Linked DNA regions of Macaca mulatta. The protein of the gene in region 1 interacts with the protein of each later gene in a pairwise test. Links are inferred from orthologs where the notes say so. Each region holds a gene or a part of one and is shown in the gene's direction. Other genes may lie near its edges.

Region 1 (3,746 bases):
CAAGGGGTATGTATGCACATTCTGTCCATTTTACTCAAGAAACATGTTTCTTCTCTACTGCTTTGGCTTCAGTCCTCCTGACATTTCCACACTCTAGCAACAGCTCCCTCTTTGAACCACCAGAAAAGCCTGCTACCTGGCCCTCCTGCCACGTTATGTCCTCCATGTGTTGCAAGAAGCCTCTTCCTTAAGTCAATTTAAAAAAAAAATCACAAATACCTGCTTCAAATCTTTTCCCTTTCCTTTCATTCCTTACTTCTTTTTTCTTTCTTTTTTGGAGGGGGAATTATTGTTAATTGATAATATTTAATATTTAAACTCCTTAGATTCATATATGACTTCATACATTGGCTCCAACTAATTTTTTTCCAGTTTCATATCCTGGTACTCAAAGTCATGTACATTATTTTCTTGCATAAAATGTCTCATCTTTCTCTAGAAATAACAGTCCTTGCCATAAATTCCTGCTTTTGTAACATGAAACGGCTTTCCTTTGGAGTGAGACCACTTTTCACCTGAAACATGCTCATCCTTCAACATCCAGCTTGTCTCCTCCTTAGGAAAACATCCTCTGTTCTGTTGGTGATACTGAAGGCAGTAAGTACCCTGAAAATGTCTTTGTAAAAGTTTTGCCTTTAGTATTGTGATTACCCATTCACCTGTCTATCCCTTTCCAGAAATGTGAGCTCCTCAAGGGCAGGCTCCAAGTCTGACTTTCCTACTGTGCACATACGATGGTACTTGCCACGCCAAGAAACAAATCCTTACTGTTTGGGGAAAAAACAAAAGTACAAAGAATACAACTCTAATATGAACAAAACGAATGATAATATGCTGTTTAGAAAGTATTGAAAAACCAGGCACATTGGCTCACACCTTGGGAGGCCGAAGTGTGGTGGATTGCTTGAGCCCAGGAGTCGGAGGCTAGCCCGGGCAACATAGTGAGACCCCGTCTCTATTAAAAAACAAACGAACAAAAAAACACAGCCCTGGCAACATAGTGAGACCCCGTCTCTATTAAAAAAAAAAATACAACAATTAGCTGGGCATGGTAGATTGTGCCTGTAGTTCCAGCTTTTCAGGAGGCTGAGAAAGGAGGACTGCTTGAGCCCACGAGGTCGAGGCTACAGTGAGCTGTGATCATGCCACAGCACGCCAGCCTGGGTGACAGGATAAGATCCTGTCTCAAAAAAAAAAAAAAAAAAAAAAAAAAAATGTGTTGAGGTCATTTCTTTCATATCATGTGTTAAATAGGCTTCGAAGGGCTGGCCTTGAAACCTGACAGCTTTGAGCCATTGTGTTTCCATGGGAGTAGGCATTCTAGGTTCCAAACCGCGCACTTACAAATGGACTTTGGAACACAACGTGCTACCTCAAGGCTCCACCTGGCCACACGGCAGGCACTGAGGCTGGGAGGCAGCCCCCAGACAGATGAGTGTCCGCTCCTCTCTGAGAGGTGAATGAGCCCGAGGGGTCCTGACCTACGGAGTTGTGAGGAGCAGCGGCGCCAACGACGCAGGCCCGCCCCAGCCCGCCAGCGAGCCGCCCATGCCCTCTGCCCGCCTGGCCCGCCTGGGCCCTCGCCATGCTGATCACCGTGTACTGCGTGCGGAGGGACCTCTCCGAGGCCACCTTCTCCCTCCAGGTCAGCCCCGACTTTGAGCTCCGAAACTTCAAGGTCCTCTGCGAGGCGGAGTCCAGAGTCCCCGCCGAAGAGATCCAGATCATCCACATGGAGCGACTCCTCATCGAGGACCACTGTTCCCTGGGCTCCTACGGCCTCAAAGATGGCGATGTCGTGGTTTTACTGCAGAAGGACAATGTGGGACCCCGGGCTCCAGGGCGTGCCCCGAACCAGCCTCGTATAGACTTCAGCGGCATTGCGGTGCCCGGGACGTCCAGCTCCCGCCCGCAGCACCCAGGGCAGCAGCAGCAGCGCACACCCGCCGCCCAGCGGTCACACGGCCTGGCCTCCGGAGAGACGGTGGGCGTCCCGCAAGGTCTGGGCAGCCCCGGCCTGATCCGCAGCATGCTGCTCTCCAACCCGCACGATCTGTCGCTGCTCAAGGAACGCAACCCCCCCTTGGCGGAAGCCCTGCTCAGCGGAAGCCTTGAGACCTTTTCTCAGGTGCTGATGGCGCAGCAAAGGGAAAAGGCCTTGAGAGAGCAAGAGAGGCTTCATCTCTACACGGCCGACCCCCTGGACCGGGAAGCTCAGGCCAAAATAGAAGAGGAAATCAGGCAGCAGAACATTGAAGAAAACATGAATATAGCGATAGAAGAGGCCCCCGAGAGTTTCGGACAAGTGACGATGCTCTATATTAACTGCAAAGTGAATGGGCATCCTTTGAAGGCTTTTGTTGATTCTGGCGCCCAGATGACCATTATGAGCCAGGCTTGTGCCGAGCGATGTAACATCATGAGGCTGGTGGACCGACGGTGGGCTGGGGTTGCTAAAGGAGTGGGCACACAGAGAATTATTGGCCGTGTTCATCTAGCTCAGATTCAAATTGAAGGTGATTTCTTACAGTGCTCTTTCTCCATACTTGAGGATCAACCCATGGATATGCTTCTAGGCCTAGATATGCTCCGGAGACATCAATGTTCCATCGATTTGAAGAAAAATGTGCTGGTCATCGGCACCACTGGCACGCAGACTTACTTTCTTCCTGAGGGAGAGTTGCCCTTATGCTCTAGGATGGTAAATGGGAAAGATGAGCCTTCGGACAAGGAAATTACACATTCGGTCATGGATTCAGGACGAAAAGAGCATTAAAGCACGTTATAAATATGTCACCACCTTGAGGGAGGCTCAGGTCCCCGGAAATTATACAGTAAGAGCTCACTGGCAATGTAATCATTAAAAATCATCAGTAACAACTAAACCTGGCCTTGGGACTACGTTCTCAGATGGGTAACTACATCAATCCTGATTCCTTGGTCTTGGTCCCTCTTCCATTTCCCTTGTCCAGAGATCACTGAAAGACATCCTGGGAAGGCTCTGGAGGCTCCAGCTGATTTCCAGATAATCCATGAAAAAGAAAACCAGCTTCTTCCTTTAGAGACACTATCCTATCAGATTACAGGTGGCTTATTCAAATTATTGCTATTTTGTAGAATTCCCTGGAAAAATGCTATGGCTGCAGACCTTACAAGGCATCCACATAAAACTATTTCACATCGGCACTAACAATTCTTTATATTGAAATATGCCCATTTTCACAGGTTTTGTTTTCTTTCGGAAAGGCATTAGAAATGGTGGGTCAATTACACTGTGATGTTAACTAATACTTACACATGTCTGTTTGGGGCAGCATAAGGACCAATTTCCTCATATTTACACCTTCCCTTCTCTTGGATCCCCTGCAGTCACTCTGCAATCCACAGCTAAAGACTATTTTTGCCACATTTGAGAAAGTGGATTTATCTCCAAGGATGCTACATTAATTTTCTATTTCCCCTGCATTCAAAGAAACTCTCACTGTAAAACAAAGGCAATAAATTAGATTTTTTTTAAAAAAAAAAGAAATTATGGTACTTCTTGGGAGTCAAGTTGTACAGTAGTGGGAGTGAGAGGTAGGCACAGGCAGTGGTCCAGGTTCTCTAATACTCATTGCAACTAGATCATCTCTCTCTCGCTTTTTTAAAGTAAAAATCTGCTTTATACATTAAGCTGCTGCTACATCAATATTGTTTGAACAAATGTGTTCACTGTTCAAATAACATTTGAAAACTTTTGAATGAGA
Region 2 (3,746 bases), on another chromosome or scaffold:
CCCCTCCACCCCCTCCAAGACCCCCCAGGAGGCATTAGATTTTCCTTCCCTCAGCAAGGGGGAAGCAGTGTCAGAGGCACTGCCCCAAGGTCCCCCAGGCACCTGAACCCTGAGCTCCCAGGAAGGGCCCAGGCTGCAACTGAGGCTGGCCAGGGTGAGTTCTCCTTGCCTCCCCCGGACCTTAAAGTCAGATTTTAAGAATAAATACACGAACCATAGCGAAAGCGCAGAGCCAACCCTTAGCAATGCTCGGGCAATGGGACATCAAGTCTTGAGCGAGGACAAGGGTCACCGGGAGCCTGAGTGACATCTCTTCCTGACACTGCCAGGTCCTGTCTGGCCTCAGGCTGTCCCCAGGACTGAGCAGCCGCTGCAGGGCAGCCACCATGGGATTCTCCCCCACCTCTGGCCCAATCTCACACTGCCCTGGACAGGGCCCACCAAGAGGAAGGATTTGCTTCCCCTAGGCCCAGAATGGGGCCTTTGGTGCTGGCTGAGGTGTCCCCAGCGGCCTGCGGCTTCCTCAAGACTTTTCGACTGCCAGGTCCTTCTGCCCTATCCGGTGCCTCTCCGGACTTCCTCCGCCACCAGCTGGGCCAGAATTCAGGGCAGCGCCTGGTTCTTGCCTGTCCGTGTCATTCATAAGCCACGGGGGACTTCTGGCCGCCGCCGCCGCGTGCGTGCACCAAGGGCATGGCGGTGCTGGGGGGTAGGAAAGGGGGAGCAGGCCTCTGGCGCCCGAGGTCGGAGGTGCGCTCAAGTTCCGACAGCCGGGGCGGTAGGAGGGTGGGGGGAACGACCCGTGCTAACCCCTCAGAGCCTGGGCGTCCAGAGCTGTGGGAGTGGCGCCGCGGCCCCCAGCTGCTGGCTCGGGGGCTGGGGGAGAGGCCCGGGCGAGGGGAGCCCAGCTCGGTCCGCGGCGGCCGCCGGAGGGGCTCGCGTTCGCCCACACGGGCGGGCTGGCGGTCGGCCTTGCCGCGAAAGCTCGGGAGTGTTGGACTTTAAGTCAGTTCCCCGCCGCAGGAAGGGTCTGCACGCGCACACACGCGACGCCGCAAGCATTGGGACCCGGGACCCAGCGCTCCCAGCTCGCGCCCGCCCCGGCGCACTCCTGTGCGGCCCGCGCCGCCCAGCGCCGCGTGACCGCCCATTCCTCCGGGGACCCCCAGCGCCCCGGCCACACCTACCCGAGCCCCGCCCCGCGGTGCAACTCCGCCGTGGCCTGCGGGTGGGCGGGCGGCAGTCGCATCGCCCCCACCCCGAGCAGCCTTCACCTTGCCGGCATTGGCTCACCCACACGGGGCTGGGGGTTTGGAGAGGATTTGTTTTTTTAAACATTTTCCAGCAGACCACATCCCCGCCCCCCCGCTGGCGGTCCCCCGCCCCCCGCACATATACCCTGCACACACGCACGCACACACACACACACCCGGCGCGCACAGACACACGCTCCCTCCCTCCGCGCTCTACCCCTCGCCCGCCCGCCGCGCACGCAGCCGGCCCCGGCTCCCGGCGCCCCGCGCCCCGCGCCCAGCGCCCCGCGCCCCGCCACCGCTGCCGCCGAGCAAAGCCGGGCTGGGCTTGGAGCTCCTCATGGAGAAAGTGCCAGGCGAGATGGAGATCGAGCGCAGGGAGCGGAGCGAGGAGCTGTCCGAGGCGGAGAGGAAGGCGGTGCAGGCTACGTGGGCCCGGCTCTATGCCAACTGCGAGGACGTGGGGGTGGCCATCCTGGTGAGGTAGGTGTCGCCCGGGGCCCGGCCGGGCCCTGGGCAGGGAGGGCGGTAGCGGCTCCGGGCAGAGGCGGGCTGGGCCCGGGTCCGAGCTCCAGCGCCACCTCCCCAGCCGCGAATGGGGCCGGTCCGAGGTCGGCGGGGCAGGCAGCGTGGGGCGCCGTGGGGTGAGCCTTCCCTGGCTCCGGCGCGGTGCTCACCAGGAACTAGGAACCAGATGCAGGAGAGCACCTCGGTCCTCCTCCTCTCCCCGGCCTCAGAACTCCTTGCTGGGCCAGCGACCCCAGACACCCAGCCAAGCTGTCAGACGCACACATTTTTCTGGCCTTTCAAAGGGAGTAGCAGGGGCTCCCCATTTTAGAGATGGGAAAACCGAGGCTCAACTCAGAAGGGGGACAAAGAGGAGCAGACCCCTGTCTCCAGCTCCGCCGCTTGCCGGATTCAAAGCCTCTTGGAAGAACAGAGAGCAAAGAGCAGAGGTTGAGAAGGAGGAGAGCACGGGGGTCCAGTGTTCCCAGCTGCCCTCTTCCTGCTGGACGGCATGGGCCAGCAGGAGCTCCCAGGGCAGGCACAGGTGAGTGGAGAAGCAAACAGTCCCCTAGGATACAATCCCTGCTGAGTTAGGAGGGTGAGGGGAAGAAGAGAGAAGCTTGAGGAGACAGGGCCTAACTCTAAAACCCCCCACCTAGGGAGGAAATGCAGTGGTTTGGGCTTAGGGGTCATTCAGGCACCACATGCCCCTGAGAAACCCACAAACAGAGAGCACCCCATTCTTCACACACCTGCGCATAGAGCACACACACCATCCTCATAGAGGTGATGTGTCCAAGCCTCGAAAGCTAGTCACTGACTCTAGCTACAAATCCATGCTCTCTTCCCACACGTGCTGGTCCCTGGGGGTGCAGGCAGAGGAGCCCCAGACCATGCTCACCCTCAAGCCCCTGTTCTTGGGAGAGGAAAGTGGTCAAATCTAGGACAGAGTAGGGCAGCCTTGTCATGTGCAGACGGGGTGAAGCCTCGCTCTGGAAGGGCAGCTTTAGTGCATGCCTGACTCCCAGGCCAGCTCCGTCTCCAGCTTCTTCTCCCTGTGGCCTCTCCCAAGCCTGGGACCTATCCAGTTCCACCATGATATGCCCTGATTCCAACTCAGAAGCAGATTTTGGTGGAAAAAGAGCAGGAAGCCTTTCTAAGGGTTCTAAGGAGTTACAGGAGCGCTCCTGAGGATAGGGCAGCTATCTCAGCAGCCCCCAGGCCCAGCAACACAGCTGGGAGTGGCAGGAAGCTAAGAGGGACATTGGGATACTAGGGCCTCAGACGCTCGGAACCACCGATCCCCACACGTGCTGGCACCCATACAAGCACACAGTGGGTAGCAGAGCCACAGACGCGCCAGACTGCATCCTCGGAGGGCGCCGTCAGCCGCGTGTCAGCACCTGCAGCCCACCGGCCTCGCATGCATCTGGCACACTCATGTGTCACCATGAAGTGAGGCAGGGTCTTCAGGACCTTGGAGGTTTTCTGTCCCAACCCCTGCCATGTACCTGTGCGGATACGTGGAGGAAGGGCTCACCATCCGCATCTCGGGGCACCACTGACCCTCCCCAGGAAGGGGACCAGGGAAGGGCACATGCCAAGGGGGAAATGAAACACTGAGACCAGGGCCATGTCTGGGCAGTCCGAGTTTCCAGCAAGGATTTCTTTCTCTCTCTACATCCCTCTTCCAGTTTCCCACTCCTGTCTCGCAGAGGGGCCTGGGCCTGGGCTGGGGGAGGTCATTACCAATGCGCTCAATGCCCAGAGTAACCCCTCACTACTCTGACTCCACTTCTGTGTGGACCAGAGCCCAGCCCCAGGACAGCCTGGCCCAGCTTTGTCTCAGCCACTCCCTGCCAGCCCAAGCACCGCAGGGCTTTGCTTTCCTTTTTCTCTCCTCCTGTCTCTGTCCAGGGCCTGGGCAGTGGGGGAAGGGGAGGAAAGGGGCATAAGGGCTCCTGAAGGTCCCTCCTCAGATCCTAG
Region 3 (3,746 bases), on another chromosome or scaffold:
CCTGCCTCAGCCTCCGGAATAGCTGGGATTACAGGCGCGTGCCACCACACCCGGCTAATTTTTGTATTTTTAGTAAAGACGGGGTTTCACCATGTTGGCCAGGCTGGTCTCGAACTCCTGACCTCGTGATCTACCCACCCTGGCCTCCCCCAGTGCTGGGATTACAGGCGTGAGCCATCGCGCTCAGCCAAACTGAACGTGTGATCTCTCTTAATAGTCCTCAGATGATGGGGGCAGGGTAGGTGGAGAAACGGGGTGACAAGAAAAGCTACCTCTTGCAGACATCTATGAGCTGATTTTGTCAGATCTTTTGCGACAGTATAACATTCCGTAATGGCTAGTCCAAGCAGACTGAAGTAGACAAGCAATGGCTCATAGAAAACATGGTTTAAAACCAGAAGCCACGTGATGTAACTTTATTTAGTCGAACTGCGCTTTCATCTTTCTTTTAATAACTTAGGGAGAACAACGGGCCCCAGTGGCAAATGCAAGGTCCCCTGCCTCCCAACCCGATTCCTCTGAGAACCTGCTGCCATCTGCCTGGACCTCCTGTAAGATGGCTCCTACGCGACGACCCTACCAGAGAATCAGCTCTACGTGCCACCAACATTGCCACCAACATGTCCACAGATTGCCTGCTTGCCTCAGCCCACTGACACTCGATGCCGGACTGGGCCAGAAGGACGATCCTAGATTTGATGCCTTTTTGTCTCCCTGGACCAGAGACTGCCTCCTCTTTCCTCCCACGTTCATTTCTTTTTCTTTAGCCCGTGTAAAGCAGCGTGGGAGAGAAAACTAATTTCTTCTCCCTGGGGTACCCCGGAGCATCGCTGCAGCCCCTGGCAGGCGGCGGAGCCGCGCGCCCCGGGCGTGCCGAGAGGCTGCGGGGACGCGCGCCCTCCGCCTCCCGCAGCTGCGCGTCCGCAGCCGGGGCGCCCAGGCCCGCAGCCTCCCGGGCCTCCCCGAGGGCCGGATCCAGCCTGCAGGTCAGGCCGGCGGCCGGGGTCCCGCGGGCGGAAGTGAGAAGGGCGGCCGGGGAGAAGGCTGCGGGCTGGGGGCTGGGATTCCCTTCCCGCCTGGCGCCGCCTGGGAGAGCCCGCGCGAGGACGCCCGGCGCGCTCCGCCGGCCCTTTTTTGGCGCTGAGGAAAAGGAGAAGGGCAGAGCCGCCGCCTCGCGGGAGCGGGCCCCGGGAGGAGGGGCCGCTGGAGAGGCCGGGCGAGCGCGGGCGGCCCTCACCTCGCCGCTCCTCCCGGGCCGCCATCCCTCGGCGCCCCGCCCGGAACCGGCGCGCGCGTGGGGGCGGGGAGGCCGGCGCGCAGATCTGGCGGTGAGCGCCGCCGCCCCGGGGCCCCCAGCCATGTCGGCCGAGGAGATGGTGCAGATCCGCCTGGAGGATCGCTGCTACCCGGTGAGCAAGAGGAAGCTCATCGAGCAAAGCGACTACTTCCGCGCCCTCTACCGCTCCGGCATGCGCGAGGCCCTGAGCCAGGAGGCCGGCGGCCCGGAGGTGCAGCAGCTGCGCGGCCTCAGCGCGCCGGGCCTGAGGCTGGTGCTGGACTTCATCAACGCCGGCGGGGCCCGCGAAGGCTGGCTCCTGGGCCCGCGCGGGGAGAAGGGCGGCGGGGTGGACGAGGATGAGGAGATGGATGAGGTGAGCCTGCTGTCCGAGCTGGTGGAGGCGGCCTCCTTCCTGCAGGTCACGTCTCTGCTGCAGCTGCTGCTGTCCCAGGTGCGGCTCAACAACTGCCTGGAGATGTACCGCCTGGCGCAGGTGTACGGGCTGCCCGACCTGCAGGAGGCCTGCCTGCGCTTCATGGTCGTCCACTTCCACGAGGTGCTGTGCAAGCCCCAGTTCCACCTCCTGGGGTCTCCTCCCCAAGCTCCGGGGGATGTCAGCCTGAAGCAGAGGCTGAGGGAGGCCCGGATGACTGGGACTCCTGTCCTCGTGGCCCTCGGGGACTTCCTGGGGGGACCCCTGGCCCCTCACCCCTACCAGGGGGAGCCCCCGTCCATGCTCAGGTACGAAGAGATGACTGAGCGTTGGTTCCCGCTGGCCAACAACCTTCCTCCCGACCTGGTCAATGTCAGGGGCTATGGGTCTGCCATCCTGGACAACTACCTCTTCATAGTGGGCGGGTACAGGATCACTAGCCAGGAGATCTCTGCTGCGCATTCCTACAACCCCAGCACCAACGAGTGGCTCCAGGTGGCCTCCATGAACCAGAAGAGGTAAGCACCCCGGCAGAGTGCTGCTGCCTTCTCATTCATTCACTTGTTCATTAGTTCATGGGCCCGGTGTTTACTGAGCCAGTAAATAGGGGAGGGTGTGCTGAGGTGGAAATGACATCTTCAGGAATGTTGTTGGCCTTGGTGCTGGCAAAGTTCCCAGTGAACTAAGAAATTGCGAAGAGGAACTCCCCAGTGAGGTCAAGTAGTGGAGTGGTTTTTTGGCAGGTATTGTGCCTTTAGGTGAATCTGCTTTCTTTGTCTCTGTTCTTGTGAAAAAAGATGTCGTGATTTCCTATAAGAATACTTTAAAAGAAAATTGCTCCTTAATTTTTAAAAAAATTTTTCTTAGTTTTTAGGATTCGATCCTGATGGTAATGACACACTGGACAGTAACCTGTGACACTGACTTTGGGGGATTTTTTTCTGTTGTCAGTGACTGTGACAACAGAGAGTCTTTCACACTGTGACACCCATCATGACCAAGAGATAATCACTGGAAATGTATTAACATTTGCAATAGGGGTTGCTTTTCTTATTTTTTATCTTCTCTTTTGCTTCCTTCCCTGGACAGCCATCGTCATGACCCAAAGCTTGAGCCTGGAAGTGTTCAACTATAGAATTGGAATATTTTCATTTACCCAACCTTCTCCCCCTCCCATCCTGCAAATCCCTCCTGCCTCCAATATGGGTGACTTGAAGAAAGGAAGAGGAGGAGCTTGAGGAGTGGGATGAGAGGGGAGAAGGGAAACGAACCAGGGAAGGAATATGAAAACAAGAGCAAAGAGCATATACAGGAAGAGATGGTAGGAAATAAAGACGGTAGCGCCGAGGAGGCCTCAGAGTCATTCAGAAGCAGGGAAGAGAATCAATGTAACTCAAGAAAGAATGAAAATACCCTTTCTTCCCATCCACGTGTTTCCATCTCAATCCTCACAGGGTCCTGGTCCTGAAGTGTGGAGCAAGGAATTGGGGAACTCACAGCTAGGCGAAGGAAGTCTTAACAGTAACAGAGAATCCTTTATATATCTATCTATTTGACTCGAGGGTCCTCCTTGGCCAGGGATTATTTGGGGAAATAACTGGCTTTATTTCTCCTATAATATGGAATTCATTTTGAAAAGTATGCTTTTTTCCCTGATAATACATGGTTACAGAAAACTAGAAAATGGAAAAGAATGAAGAAGCAAAAAGATGATTATTACCACTCGTTCTTCCTAGAGGCAGTAACTGCAGGTTGGCATATTTCCTGCCAGCCCATTTTTAATGCATTATTTGCACCATTGAGATGATACCATATTTAAAATTTGGTATCAGAAGTGTTATTTTAAAACATTCTATGCGCTGTAATTGAAACAACAAAGAAACATTGTGTGGCTATGGGTGGTGGTCTGATTAGGGGTGGGCGGCCCTGAGTTCTCTGTCTCCTCTTGCATGCCTCCAGCTACACATCATTTGACGCTCACCAGGCCATCCTTAGTACCGCAGTTCCTCACAGTTCTTTCTTCCCTTCATACAT

What was found.
Region 2: the proteins of DDI1 (region 1) and CYGB interact in binary tests that used the Homo sapiens proteins (3 or more experiments, as listed by UniProt). The two-hybrid records come from large-scale screens. The link is inferred for Macaca mulatta from reciprocal best matches to the Homo sapiens genes DDI1 and CYGB.
Region 3: the proteins of DDI1 (region 1) and KLHL42 interact in binary tests that used the Homo sapiens proteins (3 or more experiments, as listed by UniProt). The two-hybrid records come from large-scale screens. The link is inferred for Macaca mulatta from reciprocal best matches to the Homo sapiens genes DDI1 and KLHL42.

What each region holds. Positions count from the first base shown.
Region 1 is NC_133419.1:104,893,137-104,896,882, forward strand, and holds the start of DDI1 (protein DDI1 homolog 1), read left to right. Parts: upstream 1-1,344; 5' UTR 1,345-1,585; coding exon 1,586-2,776; 3' UTR 2,777-3,746. UniProt on the Homo sapiens protein: Probable aspartic protease. Seems to act as a proteasomal shuttle which links the proteasome and replication fork proteins like RTF2. Required, with DDI2, for cellular survival following replication stress.
Region 2 is NC_133421.1:86,289,575-86,293,320, reverse strand, and holds the start of CYGB (cytoglobin), read left to right. Parts: upstream 1-1,501; 5' UTR 1,502-1,593; coding exon 1,594-1,736; exon of another isoform or gene 1,737-1,844; intron 1,845-3,746. Other genes in the region: photoreceptor disk component PRCD, read right to left, coding at 1,188-1,338. UniProt on the Homo sapiens protein: Probable multifunctional globin with a hexacoordinated heme iron required for the catalysis of various reactions depending on redox condition of the cell as well as oxygen availability.
Region 3 is NC_133416.1:30,134,282-30,138,027, forward strand, and holds the start of KLHL42 (kelch-like protein 42), read left to right. Parts: upstream 1-1,318; 5' UTR 1,319-1,358; coding exon 1,359-2,230; intron 2,231-3,746. UniProt on the Homo sapiens protein: Substrate-specific adapter of a BCR (BTB-CUL3-RBX1) E3 ubiquitin-protein ligase complex required for mitotic progression and cytokinesis. The BCR(KLHL42) E3 ubiquitin ligase complex mediates the ubiquitination and subsequent degradation of KATNA1.